Linked DNA regions of Mus musculus. The protein of the gene in region 2 purifies or fractionates together with the protein of the main gene of each other region. This does not show direct contact. Links are inferred from orthologs where the notes say so. Each region holds a gene or a part of one and is shown on either strand. Other genes may lie near its edges. The genes, in order: Ube2b and Ubr2.

What was found.
Region 1: the proteins of Ubr2 (region 2) and Ube2b purify together in Homo sapiens (affinity purification with western blotting; 3 studies listed by BioGRID, with this or other methods). This does not show direct contact. The link is inferred for Mus musculus from reciprocal best matches to the Homo sapiens genes UBR2 and UBE2B.

Annotation. Positions count from the first base shown.
Region 1 is NC_000077.6:51,992,134-52,007,697, forward strand, and holds the start of Ube2b (ubiquitin-conjugating enzyme E2 B), read right to left. Parts: upstream 8,359-15,564; 5' UTR 8,204-8,358; coding exon 8,160-8,203; intron 5,766-8,159; coding exon 5,685-5,765; intron 3,267-5,684; coding exon 3,241-3,266; intron 1-3,240. Other genes in the region: Cdkl3 (cyclin-dependent kinase-like 3), read left to right, coding at 12,795-12,959. UniProt on the Homo sapiens protein: E2 ubiquitin-conjugating enzyme that accepts ubiquitin from the ubiquitin-activating enzyme E1 and transfers it to a E3 ubiquitin-protein ligase. In vitro catalyzes 'Lys-11'-, as well as 'Lys-48'- and 'Lys-63'-linked polyubiquitination.
Region 2 is NC_000083.6:46,921,543-46,935,835, reverse strand, and holds the end of Ubr2 (E3 ubiquitin-protein ligase UBR2), read left to right. Parts: intron 1-324; coding exon 325-402; intron 403-1,590; coding exon 1,591-1,761; intron 1,762-3,281; coding exon 3,282-3,383; intron 3,384-5,335; coding exon 5,336-5,477; 3' UTR 5,478-7,545; downstream 7,546-14,293. Other genes in the region: Prph2 (peripherin-2), read right to left, coding at 12,289-12,501. UniProt on the Homo sapiens protein: E3 ubiquitin-protein ligase which is a component of the N-end rule pathway.

The DNA.
Region 1 (15,564 bases), on a different chromosome or scaffold from region 2:
TGAGCCATCTCAGCACTCCCAATTGTCAGATTTTTGAAAGGCAACTGGGCCCTAGCTACTAATATTTTAAAAATACACACTCAGCCGGGCGTGGTGGCGCACGCCTTTAATCCCAGCACTTGGGAGGCAGAGGCAGGTGGATTTTTGAGTTTGAGGCCAGCCTGGTCTACAGAGTGAGTTCCAAGACAGCCAGGGCTACACAGAGAAACCCTGTCTCGAAGAACCAAAAAAAAAACAAAACAAAAAACAAAACCAAAAAACAGCTGGACTATATTAAAAAAAAATAAGCAAACCTCCAACAGCTGGACTATACAGTTTCAAGTAAGCATGTGAGGTAGTTGAGCTGCTTGCTCTCAGGCCCACTCAGCAGTATCAGTACCACTATGGGTAAGAAGTGGATTCATGAAACCGAGCGGCACTGAGAACAGCGTGGACGTTGATTAACTCACCATGGCAACAGACACAAGATCGCCAAGAACCAGATAGCACCAAGCAGCAGCAAAGTTACAAAACAATGTTGTGGCCTGAATATTACCACTTTCTGATTTCCAAAACATTGGTTTTTTAAAAATAGCATTTAATTAAAATAATGGTTGCAAAAAATCTGAGATTCACATAGCTGAGATTTACTGGCACTCATGTTTCTGTACAGACTGCTTCCAATAACCTACTGGAACTTGTACCAGAAATCGTTAACTTGACAGCTGGGGACATAGCTCAGTTATAGAACACTTGCATAGCAGGCAGATAAAAAGCCTGGGGTGGGATGCATAGGAAATATTGTAACCCCAGCTAGTCAGGCAGCTAAGACAAGATGTCAAGTTCCAGGCCAACCTGGCAACTCTGCAGGACCTTGTCTCAAAATAAAGTAAATCGGGTTGGGAGCTCAGTGGAGAGCACTGGCCTGCACCCTGGGGTCATTCTCCAGCTGCCAAAACAGAGGCCCTGGGAAAACCCGCCAATTCATCAAGACGTAATCGAGCCTTATAACATTAACCTACCTAAATCATTTACTTTTTTTTTTTTTTTTTGGATTTTTGAGACAAGGTTTCTCTGTGTAGCCCTGGCTGTCCTTGAACTCAGAAATCCGCCTGCCTCTGCCTCCTAAGTGCTAGGATTAAAGACGTGTGCCACCACGCCCGGCTTAAATAATATACTTAAGAGAAATACTAAATAGCATACTTAAAGACTTGCTAGTGACAAGCACACTACTATTCTGCATTTGTACAGTTCTTCATGTTTGGTTTAAAGAGGACAGCTGGGTTCTCTTATCTACATGCAACCTGTTACAATATGTTTAGTTGACGTACAGTACATGAAGAAAATATGGCCTCACACAATATGTAACTGAAAAGGATTTTCATAGCCCTTTCAGATAACTAGACAGGTCTGATATTGTACAAGTTTGTTTGTTTGTGTTTTTTTTTTTTTTTGGTTTGTTGCAATGGAGCATGGGGGGGGGAATCCAAAAAACAAAAAACCATCTCTTTACTCAATTACAAGTTTAATGTAATTTAAAAATATATACAGAAATTAAAAAATGTAAAGTACAGCAGAATTAAACTGCTATACTTTAAAGTCTTGTCTTTTTTTTTTTTAAATCTACAGACAGACCCAAGGTCATGCCAGGCACACACTCCCAGTAACCCAGCTCCTGCTCTAGGCTCCAGCTGCACCCACTCTGCTGTGGAAGGCCTCTGAGGTCCTTCATAAAGCACAGTATTAAGGAGCATCCACATGTAAGGACGAGCAATTTCAACTACCACCAAGTCCTCTTAACATGCAAAGAACACAGTCACTGTTAGCACAGTGTGGGCCACAGTCCCGGCTCGTTCTTAGATGCTCAATTCCTTAGGTACAGATCTAGCTTAGTGAGGCTGCCTTTGTATCAGCAATGCAAAGGTCAACACAGTTAAAGATGACCACAGGGTCTCCTGTATGGCGGACTCAAGACATCTTGAAGAGTTTGGGAATGGACAACTGAGAAGTCCTGACATAGTTAAAGAAGTGTGCCACAATCATTCAGTAGCTCCTGGGATTCCTCATGCCTACTCACAAGTAAGTAAGTGACAGTGTGGTACGCATCCCTACACGGGCATACATGTTTAGTGAGAGAGAGAGGATAGTCCTAGCATTTGGAAGGCAGAGGCAGGAGGATTTGTGAGTCTAGACCTACAGAAGAGGCTACAGTGAGATCCATCTCAAATATACAGATGCTAGGTTATTCTACAGCATCTTTGTCTAAGACCTACAGCTAGACCGGCCTCCTTTTCTTCGACAGGTACTTAATATCCTAGCGTCCAAGAACGGCACCACTCACTTCTCAGGTTTTCAGGTGGTTCTCTCACAAATAGTTCATAGTAACTATTCTTTTTTTTTTTTTTTGGTTTTTCAAGACAGGGTTTCTCTGTGTAGCCCTGGCTGTCCTGGAACTCACTTTGCAGACCAGGCTGGCCTCGAACTCAGAAATCTGCCTGCCTCTGCCTCCCGAGTGCTGGGAAAAAAGGTGTGTGCCACCACGCCTGGCCACAGTAACTATTCTTGTCAAACATGCTGAACAGATGAATTCTGAAGTCATTCTGATAATTACAGCAAAGCTGTTTAATTTTTTTTTAATCCACTATAATTAAGGAAAATCTTTCAGTACCTGCTTAAAGTCAACTTAACAAACTTAATTGTGATTACAGATTAGAATCATTCTCCCATTTTCCTGGCTCCTGTTAGACCCAAATTGAGCTGCAAATGACTGCACAACGTTTCTGGGTGCTAAATGCTGAGTAGTGAAGCTACTGGTAACTCTGAATTCAGGACTCAGGGATGCCTGGCAGTGGAGTGCCTCCCTAGAACATACCAAGCTCTGGATTTATTCCCTAGTAATAGGGAGAAAAGAAATGGAAAATTTTACAACACCCTTATGAATGCAGACAAGAAAGCAAGGAAACAGTTACCCACTTGGTAGCAGTGCCCAGGGAGCACCTCTATTAGGCCGCCCAAACATCAACCATTTTGTAACACAGACCACTTAGACCTACAGCTGTATAGGTAACCCATGTCACACGGAAAACTGGTGAAAGGTGACCAAGGTGATGTGCAAAAAAAAAGATCCCCATGAGCTCTAAGTTTTCATTTGCTTGCTTAGTATGCCAAGAGCTTATTAAGAGTAGAGCCTGTCTTCAAATACTGTTAGAGTCTCTGACCAAAGGGCACCCTTTTAATATGTAGATAATAAGAATTACTTACCATCTTCAAAGGGTGTCCCTTCTGGTCTGAAAACAAAAAGATCTCTGATTAAAATTAGTTTTTTACTCTTCTTTCTCTGTCTTCAGGGAGGGAAGGATAACTTGGGAACTAGGAGGACGGCGCTCACCCTGCTCCTGAGAGCTGCATAAACTTTACCTGTCAGACTGCCACAGCCGTGGCTTGAACTCAGGCAGCACAAAGGACTTTCAATGCTCAAGTTCTTTTTGAAAGGAAATTTGTCTATGATTTTGTTGCAAAAGAATACTGTACAGCTGAGTGTGGCAGCGCACACCCAAATAAAGGCACATGCCTTATTCCCAGCACTGGAAGGAAAAGGCAGGTAGATATCTTGAGTTTGAGGCTAGCCTGGGCTACAGTGTGAGTTCCAGGACAGCCAGTGGCTACACAGAGAAACCCTGTTTTCAAAACCAAAACCAACCAACAAACAAAAACCCAAGAGTCTACAAGTGAACCTGGTACCACACACTTGTATTCCCAGAGACTCAGGAGGCAGAAGCAGAGGATGTCAGAGTTTGAGGACTGCCTAAGATACACAGCCTGACTAACTTGGCAAGGCCATCTCAAACTAAGATTTTAAAAAGGATGGTATAACACATACACAGGGGGAAAAAAAAGCGGGGGATGCGAGTCTCCCAGCCCGGGCTTGCCCAACCATGCAGCAATTGTCCTGCCTCAGACTTCTGAGTGCTAGGATTTATTAAGGATAAGTCAGTATACCTATTTTGATTTTCTTGAGATAAGGTCTTACTAAATAAATAGCCCAGGTTGGCTTCTACATTGTGATCCTTCTGCCTCAGCCTTCCAGGGGCTATGATTATAGATGACTGACCAGGACTTCAGGAATGTTAAGGCAAGCACTCCACCACTGAGCTAGCTACATTCTTAGTACCCCACTAGTTATCTACTAGTTAAGTGTAGATCCCCCACTAGTTATATCCTAGTTAAGTGTAGATCCTTGTAAGACAGCTTACTGATGAAGAATATTTGAAAAAACCTCTTACAGGAATTTGATTTCCAGTACCCATGTCAGGGAGCTTACAACTTCAGGACATCAGACATTGGCCTCTGGCTTCCAATGGGCACCTGCTCTCTTATACACGTATCCTTCAAACCCTAGTTTTTAATCAATTACCTGGGTTGACTGTAAAATCATACCATACCATAACTAGCTGTAGTGGTAAATTCCCATAATCCCATATATAGACAAACACACATAATCAAAAATTTTTTACATTTTAAATCAAAAAGGATGTGCAGGGCTAGCAAGACAGTTTAGCAAGTAGAACTACTCGCCATACTATCTCTTGAACACATGATGGAGGGAGAGAAATGACTACACAATTGTCATCTTACCTCTACACCAAGTGTTATGGGTTATAGATACCTACTCACAGTCAGTCAGCCAGCATGCAGGCGTGCACACTTGCGCACAAATGATAAACAAGAAATTAAAAAGGTATTATATGGTAGCCTATGCCTGTGTTCCCAGCACTGAGGATGTTGAAGGAAGAAGATCCCAAGTCTGAGAAATGCATGGAGATCTTTTTGTTGTTGTTTTTTTGTGAGACAGGACCTCAGTAGGCAGCCTGGACCCTAGCCTCTAAGTGCTAGATCAAAAGGCTGAACCCCACCCTTGTCAAGAGTCTATCTCAATAGAATCTCAAAGGTGCTAGGAGTGCAGCCCAGTGATGGATGGAGCATTTGCCTACAGGGTGTTTCAATCTCAGTATTACCCAAAGTCATCCAGTGGCTTCTCGGTAGGCTGTGCATATGTCATTTTTAGCTAAAATTCTTGTCACAGCAAAGTTTTCGGTCCTTTTGGTTCCAAGTGTCCTTACAGCTCCAACAGTAGGGGCATAAACACTTGAACGGCACATTTTGTATGAGGTGATTTACCTGATCTCCTTCATTAGCCCATTTAATTTCCAGCATTTACTTATTAGTGTGGGGATCAAGCCCTGGGCCATATGCATAGCAGGCAAGCAGTCTACCACTCAGCTTCACTCAAAGCCTTCACACCCTAGGATCAGTCACCTCGAGTAACCATAAAACCATACCATAGCCAGGTACAGTGTCATACGCCCACAATCCCAGCTACTCCAGAGGGCCTAAAGCAAGAGGATCACTTCAGCCCAGTTCAAAATCACCCTGAGCAACACTGCAACACACCTTGGCTCAAGGGAAAGAAGCCAAATTAAATATAACAGCAAGCCGACCAATTTTATATAAATGCCCCAGACTCAATAAAATGTTTCAAGAGCTGGATATACAGCTTAGGGATGGGAGCACAATTAGCACAGGAGGCCCAGGGTTCTCAAAAGATGTGTCCCCGCCCCACACAAGTGAGTTTCAGAATCGGCCTCAGCCTCTCTCCCCAGTGCTTATTTACTTACCTTTTCTGAGCAATCCCTAGCTCAACTCACCCAAATATAACTGCATTCCACTGCATGATGTTGTTTTCAGATGGGGCGCCACTGACCCCCACAGGTGGGTCCTCTTGCAATCTAGAAGTCCAGAGTAGTCATTTTCAGAGTTGAACATATAGGCCAGTGAGGTCAGACTCTCCTGAAGCTACTCTGACAGACTAGCTAGACTGACTTGTTATAGTTGGAGCTGAAATGAGTTACGATCTAAATGAATCAACCAGGTTAATATTCGTATTAATACTACCAGATCTGTAAATTCTTCAAACAGCAAGATTTAAGATATGGTCTCTTGAGGAACTCGTTTTCAGAGTACCCTCTTAACCCACTCAAAGTTTACAATTTTAGCAATGAAAAATACTTTTAGATAACCTGCAACTACCAGGTGGTAGTGGTTGTCCACACCTTTGGACCCAACACTTGGGACATAGGTGAGTGAGTTGGAGGCCAGCCTGGTCTACAGAGTGAGTTCCAAAACAGCCAGGGCTACACACACAAAAAACAAACAAACAAACAAAAAAACCCTGTCTCAAAAAACAAAAACCAAACACAACAAAAACTTACAATTTTCGTACCTTAATCATGGAAGGATCTCCAGTCCTAACTACAGACACTACACAACACAAAAATGTAGGAAATCTCTATACACTAAATGACTTAAAAAAACAAAAAACCTCAATTTAACTAGAAAGCAAGTCTTACTTCATGGCCTGTGCTTCAAACAGTGCCTTTCTAAAGTAGTCAGAAGCTCCAGCTAGCTTTTCCAGCAGGCTCTATTTTAAAAACTCTGCTCTCAGGCCAAATATACCTCAGGCCTCCATACAATGCTTTCAACAGACATCATCAGCAATTTCATGTAACCTCAAGATCCTTGGAAAACCACCAAAGGCACCTTGTACTCAACTGGGAGTCAAGTACAGAAATTGCAAAAATGAACAAGAGATAAATAATAATAGATAATGTATTATCCATAATGGAAAGTTTTATTTGTGTATCAGTTACAGAGCTAATCAAATATAGTGACTTCAAGCATTGGGTGACTTTTGCACCAAAAAGGACATCTCTTTGTCTGGCAGATCATTAATAAAAAAAAAAAAAAAAAAAAAACAGCCTGGCAGTAGTGGCGCACGCCTTTAATCCCAGCATTTAGGGGACAGAGGCAAGGGGATTTCTGAGTTCGAGCCAGCCTGGTCTACAGAGTGAGTTTCAGGACAGCCAGGGCTACACAGAGAAAGAAACCCTGTCTTGAAAAACAAAAAACAAACAAAAAAAAAGCAAGCAAACAAACAACAACAAAAACCTGTCCATCTCACAAAGTATGTTGTGATTTTTAAGTGGACACTTGGCAAACTGGTCAACCTCAAGCAGATTAGGTCACTAACAGGACTGAGAGGGACGAATTTACTGCTTCATTCCTCAATTGTGTGGCTAAAATCAGCAACGAATTAAATGATGAAGTTGTCCAGGTCCCAAGACAATAGCTTCCAAATGCCTCATAAAGGGCTTTTTTTTCTCTCTCTCTCATAAAGGGCTTTATAATGGGAAAGTTGAGCAGTTGCTTCCTGAGAGGCAAATCTAAGTTTTTATATTACAGATTTGTCTCAATCACAGCGGGTCTGCCCAGAAAGAAAACTAGTATCTAGTCTACTGTTTCTGCACTTGTACGTTTCCAAGGAGAGGTAAACAACTGGGAGAGGTCATCTTCTTCCTTCAAGCCCCACATTTCCTATAAACCCCTATTTTCCAAAAGGAGGCCCAGGTGGAGTATCAGATTAGCTCCAGTCTGACGGAAGGCATTTTTCCAGGCTGGGGAGGCTATAGATAGGCTTTTATTCCGCGGCCAGATCTTAGTTCCAGAAGGCACTGGCAGGCCAAGTGGCTAGCTCCAGGCCCAGGTTTCCCGAGCCAGTTCTCAAGGTCCTTCCAGGTGGGCGGGGGCAGATCGGGTTTCGGGGGATGGGCTAACCACCTCCGGACCTCGCGCAGCAGACCCCACCCTCACCACTGCAGAAAGGGAGAGATTTGGGGCAGTATTCACCCCAACCTCTCACTACCAACAGGAGATCACGGGGCCCTGTAACAAAGCTGGACTGGTCCGCCAGGCGAGGCCGGAGCCTCAGGAGCAGCTCACTCGCACCACCTGGGGAGGGGACACTGCAGGGTGCAGAGGCGGGAGGTGAAGCGTCTGCATCTGCCCTAGGTGGGCCTCTGGGACACCTAGGCCCAGCGATGGCCACCTTCCTACTTTTGGGGGGGAAGGGCAGGAGGCTGTAGTACCGACCATCTTTACTCCAGACAGAGGGAGGTATGAAGCGAGGGAGTAAGAGCCACCGGGAAGCCGGGACTGCCGTGGGTCCCGCAGGCCCACTGCCCGCCTCCTCAGGGTCACCAGGAGGAAGATATCCGGAATCCCCGCCCTACAGTCCATGGCTTCGGGAAGAGGCCGTCATATTGGGCTAAGACGAGGGCCCTTACCGCTTGAAATCCCGCATGAGCCTCCTACGGGCCGGGGTCGACATGCTCCGCAGCTGCCCCGCGGTCAGTCTGAAAGAAAAGAGTCCCGTTCAGCCCCCCCACCCCCCGGCGCAGCGGCCGAATCACTGTGGGTCGCCGCCGCCACCGAGACTGCACAAACAACCCTGCAATGACGTCTCCCTCCGCCGCCTCCAGATCCCTCCGCCCTCCGCCAGTACCACCGCGGGAGGGGGGAGAGGGGGCGGGGCGAGCGGGCGCGCGCGCCGCACCGGAGGGGCAGAAGGCGGCCTTCCGGGCTTGTTGCTTGCGGGCAACTACGGAGGATCCGCTCCGTGCTCACGCTGAACACGGCCCGGCCCAACGCCCTCGGAGCCCACACGCTACCTCGCCTCGCTCCCCCCGTCGCTAGTTTCAAGTTCGGCCGGACGGGGAGAGAGTGGTGCATCCGGAGCCTGAGATTTCGGAGGAGAGGAGGTGGGGGGGGGGGTGACGTCAAGTCACGTGACCGCCAGCGCCGCTGTCAACAATCCACCCCTGAGGGGGAGGGAGCGAAGTATCTAGAACCACGTGTGCCTGTGACGCCATCAGAGCAGGTCACGTGATGGCCTAGCCTGGCTCTGGTTTCAGGTCTAACAAAGCAGGTCCTTGAGTATAAGGAGTTGACACCTCTAGTCATACATTATTCTTTTGGTCCCAAAGTACTGGGGCTTTGCAAAAGGAGACATTGTGGAAGGAGCCGCTTGCATTCTGAGTCTTTTAAAACGGAACAACAAAAAAAAAATCTGGACTTAATTCTGTGTTTCAAGTGGCTTAGCAACTCTGGTACGTGGGACAGGTACTGAAAGTGTGGCAAAGCCTTGTAATGAACGGCTTTGAATGCTAGGTCGGTGCAAATGAGATGGGATTAAGGGCATTTGCATCAATAGCCTGTTCCTGCTAATGGAATTTCCATACTTAGAATTTATACAGAAATGAGAGTGGAATAGATTGCCCAAACCTTAAAGACTCCATCTATGGAGTCTTTGAATTGGAATCTGTGAATTTGCCTGCGGTGGGGCACAATTGTGTTTTTCAAGAAGTGAGTGGGTGTGATTTTAGAGCATATCAATGCTGCTGGTTGTCAAAGAAACCTACAAAAATGATTCAGATCAGGGGAGAGATCCTGCAGACATGGGTGGGAGTTAGAGCTCGACTCTGAGGTAACTCATTACAAGCTTTATACAATAGCAAAGAGGGACCAAATGGACCGGAAGTGCGGTGTGGGGGGTTGATTCATAGCCGATTCCCGAAGCATTGACCACCACAGCCCCCAGCTGGCTCCTGGAATTTCCGTGCTCAGCTTCTAGCCCTGTATTGGGGATTTGTTAGTTCTAGGGACCGGAACAGTGTAGTAGATGCGGAATTCTTTAACTCAAGAAGGGGGAAGCGCATGAGACTCCACTGCTCACTCTTTCACATGGTTCCATGAAACCAGGAAGGGTTAACCTTTTTCACTGTCCTTATCCCTTCTTCCTTCAAACAATTCTCTTGATTTAAAATGACCTTGAGAACCCAGCGTCTTGGTGCATCCTGCCAATCCCACCATTCGGAGAGTGGAAAGGATCAGGAGTATAAGGCTAGCCTCAGTGAAGCAGGATGGTAGCCACCCTAGGCAGCCTGAGCGTCTCATCCCTCCCCGCCAAAAAGTAACCTTGAGGATTGTCAGGTATGTCTTACTCTTGATAGCCGCTGCTGTGTCCTCACAATGTGACTAAGCTAAAAGTTAAATATTCTTACCTTTACGTTTCTTCTCTTTGAGTTATTCCGTAGAACCCCAGGGCCTTAGGTAGCCCTGTAAAATGTTATTGAAAAGGATGCAGCGCACAAGCACAACTCCAGCACTGGGTAGACAGGGGACTAGAGGTCTGCAAATTCCACCGCACCTAGAGTTGGGAGAGACCTTGTCTTGGGGGAAAACAGGCTTTTTAAATCCCCTGGGCCGGTAACAAGTGCCTGGGCTTTTTTAAATTTCCGTCCAGCCATACCAATGTTAATCTTCCTCATGATCAAGAAATACATAGAGTGAAATGGCAGACGCTTTTTAAAAATCTCATTCTGTTGCTTATCTAGCAATTTATTACTTTAAAAAATGGACGGGATAGTTTTTAATATCCAAAATGAAATGTTTTGATAAATTGAATGCTTCCCAAAAATATAGAGAGCAGAATGTTAACAAAATTCACACAATTTCATGGCCAGGTGGCTTGCTGGAAACCTACAACCGCAGTCTTAGAACTATAATTTCACTTATTAAAACAGGGTAACTTGCTATGTAGACCAGGCTGGCCCCAATCTCACATAGTTCTGACTTCCTCTCTCCTGAGTGCTGGGGTTAGGAGTTAGTTTGTGATGACAGGGGCTCACTAATTCATGCTTTGCTCCTTGCAAATATTTAGTTCATAACAAATCTTAAGTAAACATATAGCAGGTCTCACAACATTCTTATTTATAGGAAAAAGAAAAATCCAAGCCAAGTGCCCAGCCCTCCTAACTCTCAAGCTCCAAAGCCAGGCTCTAGCAGTTAGTAGCAAAATTGCAAAAATGGAAATGCGTCTAAACTGTTTCTCTGTGTAGCCCTGGCCGTCCTGGAACTCGCCTGCCTCTGCCTCCCAAGTGCTGGGATTAAAGGCGTGAGCTACCACGCCCGGCTGTTTTTTGTTTGTTTGTTGTTTTTTAAGATTTTTTTTTTTTTTTTTTTTTTTTACAAATACACTGTAGCTGTCTTCAGACACACCAGAAGAGGGCATCAGATCCCATTACAGATGCTTGTGAGTAACCATGTGGTTGCTGGGAACTGAATTCAGGACCTCTGGAGTAGTAGTCAGTAATCCTAACCGCTGAGCCATCTCTCCAGCCCTAAACTGTTTTTTGTTTTTGTTTTTAAAAAAGCAAACTAGTTTCTTTTTTACACTACTCAGCACACTCGTTGTGCACATTCATTTGTGTGTATAGGTCACAAGACAACTTGGAGGAGTTGGTTCATTTTCCACCACGTAGGTCCAAGAAATTGAACTCTACACTTTGGGCTTCGTAGCCTTTTCCTACTGAGCCATCTCGATGACCTACTTTTGCTATTACAGTTAAATCAAGATCTGTAAAAATGGAGCCCTTTTAAAAGCTCTGCGGGCTATTTAAAAGTACATCCCTAGGCGTCCTTGTACTTACTCAGCCTGTGGCAGAGTCCGGTGAATTATTTTGTTTTCCTAAAAAGTTTTGCGTTTCACACGTCATGAGAAAACTTTAAAAGTACTGCTAGGGCTGGATATGATGGCACTCAGCACAGCACTCTAAGCAGGCAGATAATCTTGGGAGTTTGAGGCCAGCCTGGAAGTATACATTGTGAGTCCCAGGCTACCCGGAGCTATATAGTAGCCCTTGTCTCAAAACAAAAAGGGATCACTAGTAGGTAGAAAGCAGTAGTAATTGGGAAACTGAAAATGTGTACAGAAATGGTGTTAGAAATAAGTCAGAGGAGTAGTGAACGCTGAGTATGTGGCTTACTACCGAGCTAAGCCCTCTATCCAAAAACGATCTTGTCCCCGGTTTAAGGATTATGTCGACTTTGAGGTCGAAATCGGTTGCATGGAATAGTAACGAAGCACTGGCAAACTGTAGCCCCATAAGTGTTCCGTAGATCCAATTATCTCCGTCAACCTCCTAGAACCGGGCACAAGTAAGGGACCAGTAACCACCCAGGTGACAAAACGCTCTCTTGCCGGGCGAAAGCCTCCAGGCGTTCATTCTGCTATAAAATGCCCCGCTCTCCCTCATCCCCACCCCCCACCCCCACCCCCACCTGCAAGCACGCGGGCCTCCTACGTCCCTCCCCCTTCCCCTTGGGTCTATCTTCCGCTTCGTGTCACTTTCCCTTCCGGGTCAGGACCTCAGCAATTTCCAGTCTTGCGTACTGTGCTCGGAACGCGGCAGTGCCCCGCCCTCACCCCGTTGCCAGGGCGTCCGGCTGCCCCGAGCCGGCAAGGTCGGCCAGGAGAGGAGGTGTGGTGTCCCGGGCCGGCTGGGACTTGCACGCAGCCGGGCCGGCGGGACTACAGGATGGGCTGAGGCGGCGGTGGTTCTCAGGACGAGGTCGACAGCGCGGCGAGACGGGCCACTCGGGTTGGGGCTGCACAGACTGCGTGTTTGAGGAGAGGGCAGGACGTATGGGTGACTAGTGCTGAGGTGGGAGTCCCCACGCTTGGTGGACCGTGGCTCCTAACAAGGGACCCGCAGTGTTGTTAGCGGGACTTTTTAGTTTGGCTTCCATTGTTCCTGAAAGGGGACCTCAAATTGTAAATCCCGTATTCTAAAAGGATGCCTGAGTTAAACGCATATCAGACCTCTTTTATTTCTCAATCCCGGTCTACACAAAATGCTAGATTAATGAAGGACATCCTGCGTTCTGGTGAAAGTTGGAGCTTCTTAGACAATTTAAGAGTTCCCTCGAGCAGGCTCTGCTGTAGCCGGCACTCCTAGTTTTTGTTCTTATATCCGAAAGTAGGGGATTATCTCTAAGCATTATAGAGCTTGTATAATTGAAAGTGTGAACGTTTAACGTTTTCTTTCTTTATTTCTGTGAAGTAGAAGCCAGGCTTGAAAATGGAGATGTATGAAACCCTTGGAAAAGTGGGAGAGGGAAGTTATGGAACGGTCATGAAATGCAAACATAAGGACACTGGGCGAATAGTGGCCATTAAGATTTTCTATGAGAAACCAGAAAAATCTGTCAACAAAATTGCAACGAGAGAAATAAAGTTTCTAAAGGTTTGCTTCTTTTGCCTTTTATTATATATATTTTTTCTTGTTTTCCCATTGGGACCTATCTTGCTATGCAGCCCAGGCTGTCTTGAAATGCTTTATTTTTTTCCAGGGCTAAGATTTACAGGCCTACATTGAAACACCCATCTTCTTTTTCCTTGATTATTTAAGTCAAAAGAGAAATTGTTATGGGATAAAAATAAAATATATGAAAGAATGTTTCCATTAACAGATAAACTAAGACCTGTCATAGAGAAACCCTCATTGTCTACAATCTGTACTTTTTTATTGATATAAGATTGTGTGCTTGTGTATAACAATTATGCTAGTATTGTAAAATCATTCAAAACTATTCAAGTATAATACTTAGTAAGGATGTCTGCTTTGTACAAGGGATTGTGGAAAACGATGAGAGTAGGAAGAAGGAAAAAAAATTTTTTTTGCCAGGTATTGGGGTGCAAACCTTTAATTCCAGTACTGGAGAGTCAGAGACAGGTAGATCTCTGAGATTAAGGCCAGCTTGGTCTGCAGAGTGAGTTCTAGGACAGCCAAGGCTGTTAAACAAAGAAAACCTGTCTTGAAGAAAAAAAAAATGTTCCTTAGTGGCATAACTATGCAGGAGGGTATAGTAAAATAACCCTGAATAAGAGTGGTTCACGCTGAGCCAGAGAGATGGCTCTGTGGTTAAAAGCACTTCCTAGACTAGAGTCATTTCCTAGCACCCCACATCAGCAGGTTCACAACTGCCTGTAACTCCAGCTCCCAGGGATCCTGTACCTACTTCTGGTTTCCAGAGACACCTGCAGGCATGTGCATACAATCACATACCCACACAGGCTTTTTTGTTCATTTGTTGTTTATTTAATGGTTAATATTAAATCCCACCAATTCCCGTTTGATGGGGAAGGATTTTGTTTGTTTGGTTGGTTTGTTTTGTTTTGTTTTAAACAGAAAATAGGGTATGTACTTGTCCTTGAATGATGTACAGCAGTGGGATAGGATGGAGATACTTCCAGGTTAGGGGAACAGCAGTAAGGTCAGAAAGACTAAAACAGGACAGCAAGAATGGGAAGAAGAAGAGCAGATACTTGCTCTATGAGTTTCCTGTATAGAATTAGAAAGAAGTGTGATTAAAGTGTAGTAAATTGGAAACAGAAAGTGTTTTAGTCTAAGAAGTCAAAACTTGGTTTGGGGGCTTGCTAGTATCATGAGGCCGTTAAAGAGTCAGAGATGCCCTGAAGTCCAGAGAACACTGCAGTTGATGTGAGTTGGAAGAGAGGTTGAGAACTAGCTCAGTTGTGGAAATGTTGACTTGGAGGTGACAGGGATCTGTAACTGAAGGCTATTAAGCTTTTACAAGCAGCAACAGTATCGTATCGGGGAGCTCCAGGCACTGCAGGGGTGCTGGGTCTACCAGACCAAAGAGCTGAGGCAGTCAAAAGAACATGCACGTTCCTAGGAGAGTCCAGAGCTAGAGACTGAAACAAACCAAACAAAACCCGACTCTTTTCTATTTGCTTCTACACTCTCTCCTATGTTATCTGCAGTCTATCATTTTAACTTTGTATCTGTTTACACTGCTGAATTCTAAAAAATGGCCTCATGATACTAGCAGCATTCCTGAGTTAGGTTCTTACCAGACCCCCTTAGTTTTCAACCTAATACATTCTACAGACCACTGCTAATAAAATATAATTTTCTAGTCCCTGGAATGTAGGGACATTAGTTTCTTACCTTGAGACTGAAGTCTAGGTGTTTTATATGTGATGAAGATCATAGCTATTCCTGCCATCTTCATCTGGTACAAAAGAAGCATTTTCCTTTTTAATCTCTATTAGATAATATAAGTCAATTTGCTTCTAACTAGAACACTATACTAGCACCTGTAGACAGTCAGAACTGCTCTATTCTAGACTGTATGAAGGAAAGATTAAAAGCTAATAAAGGTAATTTTGTACTATGAGAGACATCAGTCCCTGCCTTATGAAATGAATCAGCACTGTCGGGTCATTTGTGCTCCTTAAGTGAGAAATAGAATTAGGAGATAATTAGTAGCCTAGAGGAGTCCATAGCTAGAGACTGGAACTAAGGGGAAGAAGCCTCCAAATACAAATTTTCTAGTCACTGGAATCTAGGGGCATTAAGGTTTCTTGCCTTGAGACCAGAGTCTAGGTAAACTGGGTATCCTGCCTCCACCTCTCTAGCAGTGAGATTACGTGCAGCACCATGCCTGCTATGTCTTAATTTTTAAAATACATTTATTGTGTGTGTTCATACACATCAACAGCACACAGGTAGAGGACAAAGGGTAGCTTGCTAAAATTGGAAGGCTCTCACGGACTGAACTCAGGGTGACGGGCTTGACAGCAAGTGCCTGTACCCCTTGAGCCACCCAGTTTTATGTGGTGCTAGGGATCGAACCCCATGCTTTGTGCATGCTAGATAGCACTCTACCAGCTGAGTAACAGTTCCAGCCCCTGCATAATAATGTTTATAAAAGTAACCATGAGGGGCTGGTGAGATGGCTCAGCGGGTAAAAGCACTGACTGCTCTTCCGAAGGTCCTGAGTTCAAATTCCAGCAACCACATGGTGGCTCACAACCACCCGGAA
Region 2 (14,293 bases):
ATAATCTTAGGCAGTTTAGATAGTTAACTGTTAATGGCCTTTCAGGTTTGTCTCCACCACAGTCAGAAATCAACTCTGCCCGCACTGCGGGTCCCTAGTTCTCCAAGCTGTCACGGGTTACAAGCGGGGGATTCATCCCCCTGACCCTCAGGCTTGCCGATGGTGAAGAGCAGCTGGGTTGCCTTCTCTGGCTTCCACCACGCCAGGCCATCGGCTGCTCAGTACACCTTCCTTTGCTCTACTTTGACTAAGCCAAGAGTTAACCTTGTGTGCTTATAACATGACCACATATTTACCAAGTTCTTCTCCTTTCTCACTTCTTAGCTACCCCAGAGGAGCTAACAAACTGATAGACCTTCCAGAGGATTACAGCAGCCTCATTAACCAAGCATCCAATTTCTCGTAAGTTACTCTCTTGGTGCCCTGCCCCTCAGACCCTTCTGCAGACAGTCAGATGGGTTTGTGGGGGCTCTTTGTTTTCACTGGGGAAGAGAAATCAGAAGTCCTTTCCATTTACTTATTTTATGTGTCTCAGTGCTCTATCTGCATGTGCACCTGTGTGCCAGAAGAGAGCATTAAACATATCCTCTTATGCATGGTTGTGAGCCACCATGTACTTGCTGAGAATTGAACTCAGGACCTCTGGAAGAGCAGCCAGTGCTCTTATCTGCTGAGCCATCTCTCCAGCCCTGCATTTGTGATTCTTTTTTTTTTTTTTTTGGTTTTTCGAGACAGGGTTTCTCTGTGTAGCCCTGGCTGTCCTGGAACTCACTTTGTAGACCAGGCTGGCCTCGAAATCCGCCTACCTCTGCCTCCCGAGTGCTGGGATTAAAGGCGTGCGCCACCACACCTGGCCTGCATTTGTGATTCTTAAGGAGTTTTCTGTCTCTGGGTATCTCCTGCGTCTCCCTCCTTGCTCTGTAGACACGTCACTCTGAGTGCTGTGCTGAGTCTCTGCCCTCTTTTACTCTGTTGATGTGCTAAAGCACTGACCAGAGCAACGTGGGGAGGAAAAGGGTTAACCTGCTTACAGGTTACAGTCTGTCACTGAGGGAGGTCAGAGCAGGGGCTCAGAGCAGGAACCTGGACGGGGGACTGAAGCAGAGGCCATGGAAGAACACTGTCACTGGTTTGCTCCGTCTGCGTTCTTATATAACCTGGGCCCACCTGCCCGTCATCAATTAGCCATCAAGAAGAAAGTGTCTCCAAAGATGTGCCCACAGGCCATTCTAACAGAAGCCATCTCTTGTTTGAAGCTTCTTCTCGCCCCCTCCCCATGTGTCTGGGAAGCTAACATGGGTGTCTGTTCCGCGTCACTCCATTTAAGTGGCTGTGTCTGCAGTACTTTGCACACTGTGTCTGAGATTTGTACGTGACTGAGGCATCACTCTTCCGTGCCCCAATAGTAGTTCCTGTTGTTCACACAGTGTTCCCATCTGCCTGTCCCAGATGTTGCTCCCTTAGGTGTTTCTGGTAGGTGGTATTAGTGTGTGTCCCAGTGTCCTGTCACAGAATGGTGAATACTGACAGATTATTTTCCAGGGTGCTCTGTGCCTGTTCCTTTGTAACAGTGCTGTCTTTATCTTCCAGGTGCCCCAAATCAGGTGGCGACAAGAGCAGAGCTCCTACTCTGTGCCTCGTGTGTGGGAGTCTCCTCTGCTCTCAGAGTTACTGCTGCCAAGCTGAGCTGGAGGGTGAGGACGTCGGAGCCTGCACAGCACACACCTACTCCTGCGGCTCCGGGGCCGGCATCTTCCTGAGGTAAGGCCCTCGGCTGGCCGTGTTCACCTGAGCACTTCGGGGACTTTCGAAGCCACTGTGCCACTGTGTGCAGACTACAAAGAGCCAGGGCTCTCACATTTCCCGTATGGCTGGTGACAGCTCCCAACTGACAGCTTAGCTCCCCTTTGTGCCTCCTTAAATGTGGGGCGATCCCTGTCCCTCGTTTCCTCCCCAAATTCAGGTAAAGAATTCCCCCGTCAGGAACTGCAGAGACGGAGCACAAGAGCACCTGTATTCAGGTCCCAGCATTTGGGTCAGCAGTGCAGCTCACGACTGCCTGTAGCTCTGGTGCTAGGGGATCTGCTGCCCTCTGCTGGCCTCTGTGGACTCACACACTTACACATAAAGCATAAATTTGTAAATCTTTAGAGCCCAGCATCATCTTTGCCTCTGTGGTGCTCTTAGGTTTTCTCTGAGGAGGCACGGGTTGCCACTGGGTCCTGTACTCAGATAAAAATACTTAGTAACTGTTGTATGTCATTTTTTAAACGAGTAATTTTCTCATAATTGTGGGGAAAAGATGAGCTGTCTTTCCCCACACTTAGCTGTTTTAAATTCTGCTTGGAGCCCTGGGTTCTCGACACAGTCACTGTCTGAATTTGCAGCACGTCATTGCCAGGTACATTCCCGCCGCATGGCTCCACTGAACACTTGTGTAAAGAGTCCCTTGTTCTCCTGAATTGGCACCTCGGAGGCTTACCTCCTCCGTCTGCTAACCTAGGCCTAGGCCTGGGGACTTCCAGACTGCACACAGGCCAATCTAGGCCGACAGTGTTTCCAGCCTCTGAGACTTTGTGCTGAATAAGCTCACCCTTCCTGGTTCTTTCTGAGCTCTGACTGGCTGTGACTCACACCCCTCTCCATGCTGACTGAGTCAGACTGACTTCTGAGTTGCTCTGTTTGGCCTCATGCTACCTTTGCAAGCTCCTCTGATCTTCTGGCTCCTTCTCATTCTCTGACTCATTCTGTCTTCACCGTGTCTGCTTGGTCTCTCTTCAGCCTGTCTCTGTAAAACCCTCCCGGTAAATCTGCCTTCTCTCTTCCCTCTGGCTCTGCGCTGCTCTCTCAAGTAGCTTCCTCTTCCTCAAGAGAGTGAGGCACATCCTATTCTGTCAGATCTTTCTCTGATTCATAATTCTGTCTGCCACTCCATTAGACGTCACTTCCAAACATGGCTGTGTCCTTCCACAAACTATGGATTTAAAGGTATGTCCTAAAGGCAAGTCTGTATTCCAGCAGAGGGATTAAAACCGAGCCGTACCACAACTAGAAACAGTTTTTTCCATAAGTAACACAGTCTCAGGGTTCACAGTGTGATCAAGTCCCCTGCACCAGACTTGGGCGGATACCTTGCTACTCGCAGGTATCTCTGTTACAGCTGCTCTCGTCTCCTGACCTGGCCTTTTGTGCATGTGTTTCCTTACATAAGCCTTTTCTCTGAGTTGAATCAACATCATGTTACTTACATAAATGTACAAAGATGAATGCTCTCTCCACAGAGTGCGGGAATGTCAGGTGCTATTTTTAGCTGGCAAAACCAAAGGATGTTTTTATTCTCCTCCTTACCTTGACGACTATGGAGAGACCGACCAGGGACTCAGGTAAGGACCCGGCCTGGGGTTAGGAAGATGAGCCTCGTGGAGAGCATGATAAGCAGGGAGGTCCTGAAGTCAGCTGGGCTGGTACCCAGGAGTGGGCTCTGCTGAAGGTAGCTTGTCACCCGTGGACTTGTCACCTGTGGACTCGTTCTCAAGGAGCACACCTGGCTCCTGCTTTGTGTGCATTTGCCACCTTTGGAAAGCCAGGAGTGGGTGGGGAGAGGGCTTGGTTGGTAAAGTGCCTGCCATGTGGGCATGAGGACCTGGGTGTGACCTCAGTGCGGAAGGGGGGTGGGGAGGGAGGTGTTTCTCTGCCTCACCAAGTCAGTGAGCTCAGACAAAAAGCAAGAGACTGTCTCAGGAGACACTGGCAAGTGACTGAGGAGGAAGACACCTGAGGGTGACTTCTAGCTTCTGCCTGCGTGTGCACACAGCCATGAGCACACCCACACACGTGCATGGCCACTCCCATGCAAACAGAAAAAAATGGATTCTTTTCGAATGTCTTGGTGTCTTAACTTGGTGGGTGAAGTGCTTGCCTCCAAAGCCTGAGGGCTTGTATTCAGATCCCCGGCTCTCTCTCACCCTAGTGCTACAGGCAGACACGGGCCACCCCAGAGCTCATCCATCAGCCAGTCAGCCTAGGCAAAATGGTGAGCTCTGGGCTCAATGAAAAGGCCCTGCCCCAGAGATGAGGTGGAAGGAGACAGAGAAGACACCCAACACTGGCCTCTGGCCTCCGGCCTCCACACACCGAGCATGGCATATACCCCTGCACATACGTGCACACATTGAGAATAAAATTTTAAGTTTAATATAAACAAAAGGGCTGACGACTGTTGGCCGAGGTAAAGGCCTGCTTCAGGAGCCTGCTGACCAAGTTCAGTCACAGAGTCCCATAGAAAATGGAAGGAAAAGTGACTCCAGAGAGTACGTCCAACTGCCGCGTGCACACATGGCAAAGGAGAGAGACAGAGAGAGAGTATGAGAATGAGAAAGAAACTTGAGAAACCCTCCATGAGGAACATAGATAGGACAGATGTGAGAAAGCCAAAAGACTGCTTTGAGTTGCCCATAGCATCCCCAGCATCAGCCCCACAGGTCCGGCCTGTGTGGCTCCCTTCAGGGGAGGCTTTTCCTGTCCTGGTGACAGGAGACCAGGTGTGAGTGCCCAAAGATATGTGTGCAGAAGAGAATCACATGATGCAGGCGCAGCTGCCCTTGATACTGCCTCTGCTGGGAGCTTCCCGCTCACAGAGCCCTACTCCAAAGCTGCTTGCCCCCAGGCGATGAAGGATTAAAGCAGAGGTGACTTCCCAGGCTTGAATAACCAAGGTTGGGCTGTGTACCACCATATACCCAGTTAACGTGGGCCCAGCGGCAGCAGGCATCTAGTTACCTTGTTAACGTGGGCCCAGGGGCAGCAGGTGTCTAGTTATCTTGTTAACATGGGCCCAGCAGCAGCAAGCATCTAGTTACCTTGCTGAGGCTTCTAGGTGACAGCCCCTGTCTTGTCCTGTCATCCTTCCACCCTGTCCTTTGCCCCACGACCTTTTTGCACATCACCATAGAATAAAGAGTTTTAGCTTCTTAACTCAGACCTGGGCCAGCAGTCCTGTTTCCTGACCTCAGTCTAACTGTGTGGCACTGGAGTACCTACCTTTTCTCTTCAGCACATACCCACAACCCAACACCGTGCGTGTGTGCGTGTGTGCGTGTGTGCGTGTGTGCGTGTGTGCGTGTGTGTGTGTGTGTGTGTGTGTGTGTGTGTGCGTGTGTGCGTGCGTGCGTGCGTGCGTGCGTGTGTGTGTGTGTGTGTGTGTGTGTGTGTGTGTGTGTGTATACAGAAAATACACAGTTGGAAGCTAGTGCTGTACACCTTTCCTGGCACAGAATGTGTTGGGACATGAGGAATGGATAAACTGTGCCTGTGAGTGACATGTGTCTCTTTCTAGACGAGGAAATCCTTTACATTTATGCCAAGAGCGGTTTCGAAAGATCCAGAAGCTCTGGCAGCAGCATAGTATCACAGAGGAGATCGGACACGCGCAGGAGGCTAACCAGACCCTGGTCGGAATTGACTGGCAGCATTTATAATCGCTCCTCTACTAAAAACTTGACTTGGAGTTTTGTAACACAGCTGGCTTTTCCAGAAAGACAACAGGAAATAAGTTCGGCTGAATCTATTTTGAAATAAATTCTTTATTTAAGCTTTTCTTCCCAGTTTTATTTTTCTAGTCTGGCTCCAGGGACTGATAAAAGTCATTTCTGCCAGATTTTATTGCTGTGTCCCTTAGACGGACGTCCCCTGGGTTGAGAGCCCTTTCTAGACCGGAGTCTAGCTCCTTTGGACGCTGCCTGCTTCAGCTGCAGTAGCCTGAGCCAGTCAACATTGCTGATGGTGTCAAGCTTGCTGGCTGTCCACCAGAGGCCAAAAGGAGCCCTGGGGCCTGTCAGGAGGACATGTCCCACCATGGTTCCTGAGACTGGGATGCGGTTCAGCTCTGGGACTAGACCTCACCTCCAGAGCAAAGCAAGTCAATTTGAAGACAGGACTCGCTTCCCCCTATGGCCTAGAGAGCTGGGGACTCTAACAGGAGAGCAGCCGGCTTTTCATGGCTGTAGATGGTTGGTCAAGACTTTTAGCTTTGAAAGCATTACTCAATTAAAGGGCTTTTTGAAATGTAAAGGACCTCCTAGTTTTTCAGACTATAGCCTTCTGCTCCAAGGCTAAACAGAGAGCATGTGCGCACCCTCAAGCAGACCACAGCAGACAAGTAAGAGCTCGGCTGAGTACAGTGCTCCAAGCCTGCAATCCCAGCTCTCAGGATGCTTAGGCAGCACTAGGAGTTCAAGGCTAGCTCCAACTGTGTTACAAGCTTGCGGCCAGCGTGGGTAACTTGAGGAGACCCTGTCTCAAACCAAACGAAATCCAGAAGGCAGTGTTTTGAGCTGCCTGCCCTGCCCTGCCCTGCCCTGCCCTGCCCTGCCCTGCCCCGCCCCGCCCCGCTCCGCCCCGCATCTGGATCAGATGTGTTGCTGCTTGTCTGCTGGTTGATCTAGGACATTCCTCAGCCTGTGCACACAAACGCCTGTTCTTTTTATTCTAAGAGCAGCCTTTCTAGAACTATAGCTACTTGGTGCCACAGTTACGGCTCTGGCACACCGCACACCTATTTCCTCGTCTGACGGATATCCGTCACATTCAGAGAAGTCACATAGACATGGTGACAGCAGGTTCAGCAGAGGGATGAACTCCAGTCTCCAGGAACAGAAAGGGGCTTTCAGCTTCTCTAACCATCAAAGAACCTCTCACTCAGCCTTTCAAATCACATCCACTCAGCTCTATCCATGCCTCCGTGTCTCAGGAGAGTCAGAAATCCAGACCAGAGGCTCAAAGAAATGCAGGTAGCACAGTCTCCAGGATCATGTGAGGAGCTGCCTCCCCTTCAAAGGATGGACTTCAGTTAGCTCTTCAGCGCGGCCCAGGCTCAGGACAGAGAGTTTGTAATGGAAGCCCAAGCTAGACTCCGTGCTCTCCCTTTGTCTCGCCTTCCCTTGGCATAGTCAGACTGGGCTGTGGATGGTGATGCTTTCGACCTTTGGCACATGCCGTTTCTTTAGATTTTAAGTTCAGCTTCTGTTGGCTCTTCACCTTCCGTTCACAAGGCTTAACTGTAAAGTTATGGGAACGTCTCTAGACTTGAGCCTAGTGCTAGAACACTTGCCTAGTGTGACTGAGGGCCTAGGTTCAGCCCTGGTACCAACCCAAAAGGAAAAAAAAAAAATCATGAGCACAGCTTGCTTCTAAACAGGCTGAAAACATCTGCTTTCTCACCTGACTCCACAGGAGCCTGGGATTAGCAGAGGTGGCCCTGTGTTTCACTCCTGGGAACATCAGGGTCTGGGCAGTGACTTCCCAGGGAATGGCAGTCCTCACACTGTGGCAATGTCATGTCCTCCCCCTACCGACACGTCTTACTTCCACTTGTTCCGCATGTTTTTGTTGTAGAAATGTTTATATACCATGCTTTCCATATCAGGGGAGATCATGTGTTTAATAAATTGGCTATAATTTTAATATCTGTGGACAATTGTAAAATTTGGGATGTATCATATGTAAAAAGTAAAGATATTCAAATAAATGCTTTAGTGTTGACATTGAGTTTTGCCTCCATCTTCTCCATGTCATTCGCACACACGGGGCCCCAGCAAAGCTCCTTGTGTCACCTTGCTGCAAAAGTGGGACATCGATATTAGCCTAAAATTTAAGAAGCTTAAACTATTAGTGTCAGCTATGACCACTAGCCAGGCCACACTGACCTTCTGGGAGGCATGGGCGTTAGCTCAGCCTATGAAGTTTTCCTCTTGTTGTCTGTGAGAGTGGGAAGTCTGGGGCCCCTGGACCGCAGAGCAGTGCACAGCAGGTCTGTGGGAGACTCTCTCAGCCTTGCCTGCTTCCCTGCAGGTCCTTGTTCTTCTACACCCACCCGACACTTGGCTTCTGCGATGTGTTCAAGAAGGAGACGACTCAGAGTGGAATTCTGCTGTGTTCTCAGAATTCTCTTACCAGACTGAGTCAAAACATCAAGTTCTCCATGGGACACTGTCAAACACCAGGGTCTCCATTGGGCTTCCCACCTCCTGGTCATTAAGGCTAACTCCTGCCCTAGACCAGCTGCCTCTCACTGACTGCTGGCTCTCTATCTATCTATCTATCTATCTATCTATCTATCTATCTATCTATCTATCTATCTATCTATCTAACTAACTATATCTGGTTGGTTGGTTGGTTGGTTTGGGTTTGGTTTTTTGAGACAGGGTTTTTTCCCTGTGTAACCTTGGCTGTCTGGAACTCACTCTAGACAAGGCTGGCCTCGAACTCACAAAAATCCAAATGCTGAGATTAAAAACCTGTGCCACCATAACCCACCAGCTCTGACCCCACCCTTATCTAGTGATGTTTACTGAGGTATACTTTACGGACAGATTAACCCTCTTTAAGGATACAGGGTTGTTTACATTTTGGCAAATGCACAGTTGTTTAACCAGCACAGTTGAGAACTAGAGCAGTCCCTGCAGAACATACCCTCACACCCCTTTGTGGTCCCCTCCTCCCTGCCCTGAGTGCTGCCTCTCACTCCTCTGTCCTGCACCCCTTCCAGAATCGTAGGTGACTGGAGTCACATGAGGTGCCTTCCCAGCAGCTTCTCTGCTACTCGTGCATTTTAGAGCTGGAGAACATAGCTTAGTTACTGAGCATTTGGGAAACCCTAAGTTCCACCCCCAGCAACACAAAAGCTACTATAGTATTTACAACCTGCATCCCAGCAGGGGGGCTGCAAAGGCAGGAAGATCAGGGGTCCAAGGTCATTTCAAGTACATGAGTTTGAGGCCTGGGATACAAGAGATAGGGTTTCTAAAAATCCTTATAAAGTCGAGTATGTTTGAGAGTCACACTTGCCTCTGGATGCTGATGGCATCCACTGTGCAGACCTTGGTACAGTCTCTAATTAAAGGCCTGGGTGATGGTTGGTGACCATCTTGTGATTACAAGCACTCCTATCTACATGGGAGCTTTGTGTGGACCCGGGGGTTTTTATTTCCTTGGGTAAATGGCTATGAATTTCCTTCCATCATGTTGCCCGCTGCCACCAGTCCCATGTCCACAAATCGGGAACCCATCCAGGCCACTCGTGCATAGACTTCATACCTTCCACAGGTACAGCTCTGCCCTGACACACAGCCACCAAGAACTCCACTGCGCAGCTGGGCTGTGGTGGCGCACGCCTTTAATCTTGGGAGGCAGAGGCAGGCAGGTTTCTGAGTTCAAGGCCAGCCTGGTCTACAGAGTGAGTTCCAGGACAGCCAGGGGGATACAGAGAAACCCTGTCTCGACAAAAAAAAAAAAAAAAAAAAAAAAAAGAACTCCACTGCGCTAGTGGAGAGTGACTGAGAAGCCCTGATTGTTGTCGCTAAGCTGCAAACCTGCTGGGCTAGCATGCCCGGTGGGTGCCGGGTGAGGAGGGGTTGGGAGCTTGCCTAGCAGAGCAATGGCTAATCTTATTAGCCCATATTGAGGTTGCCTGGGATTTACATGGTGGCTTAGTTTTGAGCTGGAAGCATGTCAAGAGAAGTTGTAGGTTCTTACTTGAGCTGAGACGACAAACTCCCAGGATTCCTGCCTTTCTGGTCATTGAGCATAAGAAACCATCAACTGTTGTTTTACTAGAGACTGTTTTGAAAATAGAAAACTGGGCCAAGAGAACGGTGACGTGGCCTTCAATCTCAACACCCAGGAGGCAGAGGCTGGCAGATCTCTGTAAATTCAAGACCACTCTGATCCACATAGCAAATTCCAGGCCAATCAGGGTTACATGGTAAGACTATCTCAAAAAAACTAAAATAAAACTAAGAGGCTGGGTGTGGGGCTAGCCTAGTCTACACAGCAAGTTCCAGGCCAACTTGGGCTATAAGGGACACAGTCTCAAAAAGAAGTCTGGACTGGGGGTGTAGCTCAGTGGTAAAAAGCCCATGCTAGGGTGTAGCAAATCCCCATCACAGCTTTTAAAAAGGAAGGCAGGCGGTCCCTGCTTCTGTCTTTACCAGTTACCCTGACTGGGGCGGGGCTGAAACAGCTGTTAGTGAGTTTGCATGAGCTTGAGGAGGGACCAGTGTCACATAAGGAAGAGCCTGGTTGGTACCAGAGTATTACTTGGACTGGTAAGTCACCAAAAGGAATGGTCTTCCTGGCAACTCTTAGCTACCTAAAACTACTTCCAATGCAGTTTATCCTAAATCTCTGAACCACGTAACCTGTAACCCAGCCCCAAGGACGCTTACAGTTACCTATTAGTGAAAATGATTGTTTTAGAAATCCAGCATGGAAAAAGAGACTTGACTGAGGGGGAGGGCTGTGCAGTGGGCAGGGTGTTTAAGACAGGGTTTCTCTGTAGAGCCCTGGCTGTCCTGGAACTCACTCTATAAACCAGGCTGGCCTCAAACGCAGAGATCCACCTGCCTCTGCCTCCTGAATGCTGGGATTAAAAGCATGTGCCACCACTGCCCAGCTAAGACTTAATTTTTTTTGAAGTTATTATTTCTGCATCGATGGGAGGGTGCCACTTATATGGAGACCCATGGAGGCCAGAAAAAGAAGTCAGATCCTGAAGCCGGGGTTAGAAGCAGCTGTAAAACTATACCTGTGGGTTCTGAGAACTGTCCAACTGTCCATGTATACTCTGGATGGACAACAAGCACTCTTCATCACTGAGCCATGTCTCTAGCCCTGACCCCAACTCTATTTATTTAAAGACTGGTCTCATGTACCGCAGGCTAGCTCTGGAACTTGCTATGTAGTACAAGATGCCATTGAACTGATCCTCTGGCCCCCACCTCCCAAATGCCAGAATCAGAGAGACATGCACGGCTGGACCTGGCTCCTTCCTTTTTAAACAGGTACTGGCTAGAATTTGACATCCTGTGACGTGTGCTGTTGAATAGACGGACAGTCACTTAACAGTGATTTTCATACAATATAGTTTTTAATATCTCTTAATACGATGGTTGACAGCATAGTTAGAAATGGGTCTAGAGTATCTTTCACCATAGTCTCAGCCCTCCTGAGAGGTGACGGCAGGACCCCGAGGGTCCCCGCCACAGATGCCTGGCTCAGCATCTGGGCCATTTCTTGCTCTGAGAGACTCAGAATACTAACCAACATTGGGGCCATAGTTCGTTGGGTGTGCCAGCATCTCTAATCTGGTCTTCCCCCTGAGAGAGTTAGAACCACACAGCACAGGCCAGCAGCAGCTGAGCCCTTGGGGACCAAGCCCTGCCTCCTGGTGGTCTCAGATGGCCACAACAGTCCTTGTGGGTGCCATCCCACAAGGTGCCACCAAAATCATATTTTTGCTTCCCCTGAGAGTTTGCCTGACGTTCCCAGAAGAAACAGCAACTTTCCACACACGCTAGCTCGGAAAGATAACCTATCTCCAGAATCTTCCTGGATACGGAAGCATTCCCATAGTGCTTTGTGGGAGGGAGAACAGAAGCTCCCAGGGGTCTTTGCCCTCCTGGACAGTGCAGTCCACAAAGACTGTTGTGGCCATCTGAGACCACCAGGAGGCAGGGCTTGGTCCCCAAGTGGCAGATTCCTAATTGATCACCACATCTCTCCCACAAAGGACAGCAAACTCACCCGGGGCCTTCTCAGGCAGTGGCTCACCCAGCACTTGGTGAGTGGAGGATGCTGGGACATGCCAGCTGAAGTACGTGACTGCGAGTCTGGGAATGGGGCAGGTATGGGACACTCACTGGATTTTACTAAAGGAAAGTTTTTACCTCCTGTGCCATCTGTGAATTTCTATGTGGAGGTAACCTTCTGAGGGAGTCCAATACTCTTAAAAAAATATCATTGCTTCTCCCCCATTGTGTAACATGAAGCAAATGATGACCAGCCTGTTAACCCTATCATTAAGGAAAACAAACAACATGGCCCTTAGAGTTTTCTTATTTTCACCTTGCTTTTATGTTTCAAGTGATGGTTGGGATGCAGAACTTGTAGCTTAAAAGAGGCAGACACTACTGAGGAGGGGAGAGGCCCTTGGTGTGGCCAGTCACCTATGAGAGATCTGGACTCACACTTGGACAGAGCCCTGGACTGGCCAGTCCTGTGAGCGTTCAGTCCTGGCCATCTGCTGCATCGTTCAGTCACTCACATCTGGAGGCAGCCGTTTCACAAATGTTTGTAACCTGCCCTAAGGACCCTGAACTTCAAGGCCCACATCAAGGAGAGTCAGTAGGTGACCAGCTTTCTCGGGAAATTTGGACTTTCAGCTGGACAAAGGGGGTATCCACAGTCCCTGGAGTCCACTAAGTGTTGAGGAGGGGGAGAGGCCCCAGGCCATCAGCCAGCCTCTGGAGCCGGGCCTGCGTCTGCACCTTCAGCCTCCACCTGATTGCTCTTGCCCAGCTTCTTAAAGCTCTCCAGAAAGGCCTTCCAGGTCTCGGGCACGCTCTTCTCCAGCAGCCAGCCCTCACTCTCACACTCGGGGTCCTCCGGGTTAGACACACTCTCCAGCGCTGTGTGGAGGTAGCGGAGTCCGGCAGTGATGCTCACCTGGTAGGGAGAGAGGAGACTTAGAGCAGACATGAGGCTTAGCTAGGAGGGCTGTTAGGACAACATGAGCAGTGGCAGCTCACATCTCCCTGGATGTGGGGCTGGGGCAGATGGTCACATTGCGACCCATCCACCCTGGCCTCCCTTCCAGCCCCCTGAAGGCGTTTAGAACATCTGATACTCTCTGCCTAGATCATCATGGCTCTTCAGTCGCCTGTTAATCCAGAGCCGACCCCAAGTGACCCGTGCTGTGCCTACCCCTCCTCTTCCTTCTTCCTGCCCTTCCCCCCACCACATCGACCACCCCAGTCCTTCACTCCATAGTCCACCCTGTCATGGTGTGTTGCTTTGTCCATAAGAATGTCAGCAACTTTACCGAGTGGGATCACAAGGTCACTTCCTGGGCTGGCCAGTTAGCTTAATGGGTAGAGACTTGGCTGCCAAGGAGCACAACTTTTGTTTGATTTCCCCCTAGTGGAAAGAGACAGCTGACTCCTGCAAGTTGTCCTCTGACCTCCACAAGTGTGCCATGGCGCTCATATGGCCAAACATGTATACACGCGCACACACACACACACACTCACACAAATATAACCTTCTTAAAACTCACTCCCAGTCCAGGCATGGCGGTGGTGCATGTCCTTAATCCCAGCACTCAGGAGGCAGGGGCAGGTAGGTTTCTGTGAGTCTGAGCCAGCCTGGTCTACATAGAGAGCTCTAAGACAGCCAGATCTATGTAGAGAGATCTTGTCTCCAAACAACAAAAGAGTCACTTCTGGGCCTGGAAGATGTCTCAGCAGGCAAGATCGCTTGCTCTTGCAGAAGACACAGGTTCGGTTCACAGTACCCACAGGGCAGCTCAGAACCATCCGTCACTCCAGTTCTGTGGGATCTGATGCCCTCTCCTGACCTCCACTGGCACCAGGTGGACACATGACGTGCATGCAGACAGCCAGGCAAAGCACTCACACATAAAGTAAATCTGAAAAGATGGAAAATCGTTTCCTCTTCTGCACATCCTGGGTGTGCAGTCATGAATGGATGCTGGTCTCCAGCTGTCCACGTTTCTGCACCAGCAGCCGCGTGCCAGACTCTGGGTCCTAAAGTATCAGGATTGGCCTACCAGCCTGCACGTAAGTGGCTGCGAGGCTCCAAGAGACAATGACTGCATCTTCTGGCTTGCAGATTTTCTGAAGAGGTGACAGCTGCCTCTGGTGGATGGCATGGGACACGAGGCCAGGTTGAGCTGTCAGCTGATTGGTGGTTGGCATGGTGGGTACCATTTTTTCCTTTCGTTTTGTATTCCACTCACTACTTACCTCTATGCAAGCTCAAGTTTCCTGTGCAACTCTGGGCTGTTTTCTAAGAGACTGTCCCCCTCCCCCATACATTGGATGCACCCCCACACCCCAGGCCCAGAGCACACAGGGTGGGACAGTACCTCACCAAACATCTAACAGTGGTTGCACTGGGGTGTATTAAATTGTAATGATAGTGACTGGCCAATTTTAGGTATTATTATTGCCTGTCGAAAGTTTACTAACATGTTTTATAATGGGAGAAGCTATCTTCTCCTGAAGGAAACCCACCACACTGTGGACTCTGCACTTGATAGTGATCTGCCCCTTTGTCCATGTTTGATCATCTTCTGACTGGATTGTAATGCACAAGGGGTCAAGGCTAAGTTAGGACACTACTCGCAGCTCCAGCAGCCTACTGCCTGTGACAGCTCCGCTCCCTAGAGGTTGAGGGTGTTCAGACTCCCTGGCCCCCTGAACTGGTCCCATGAGCT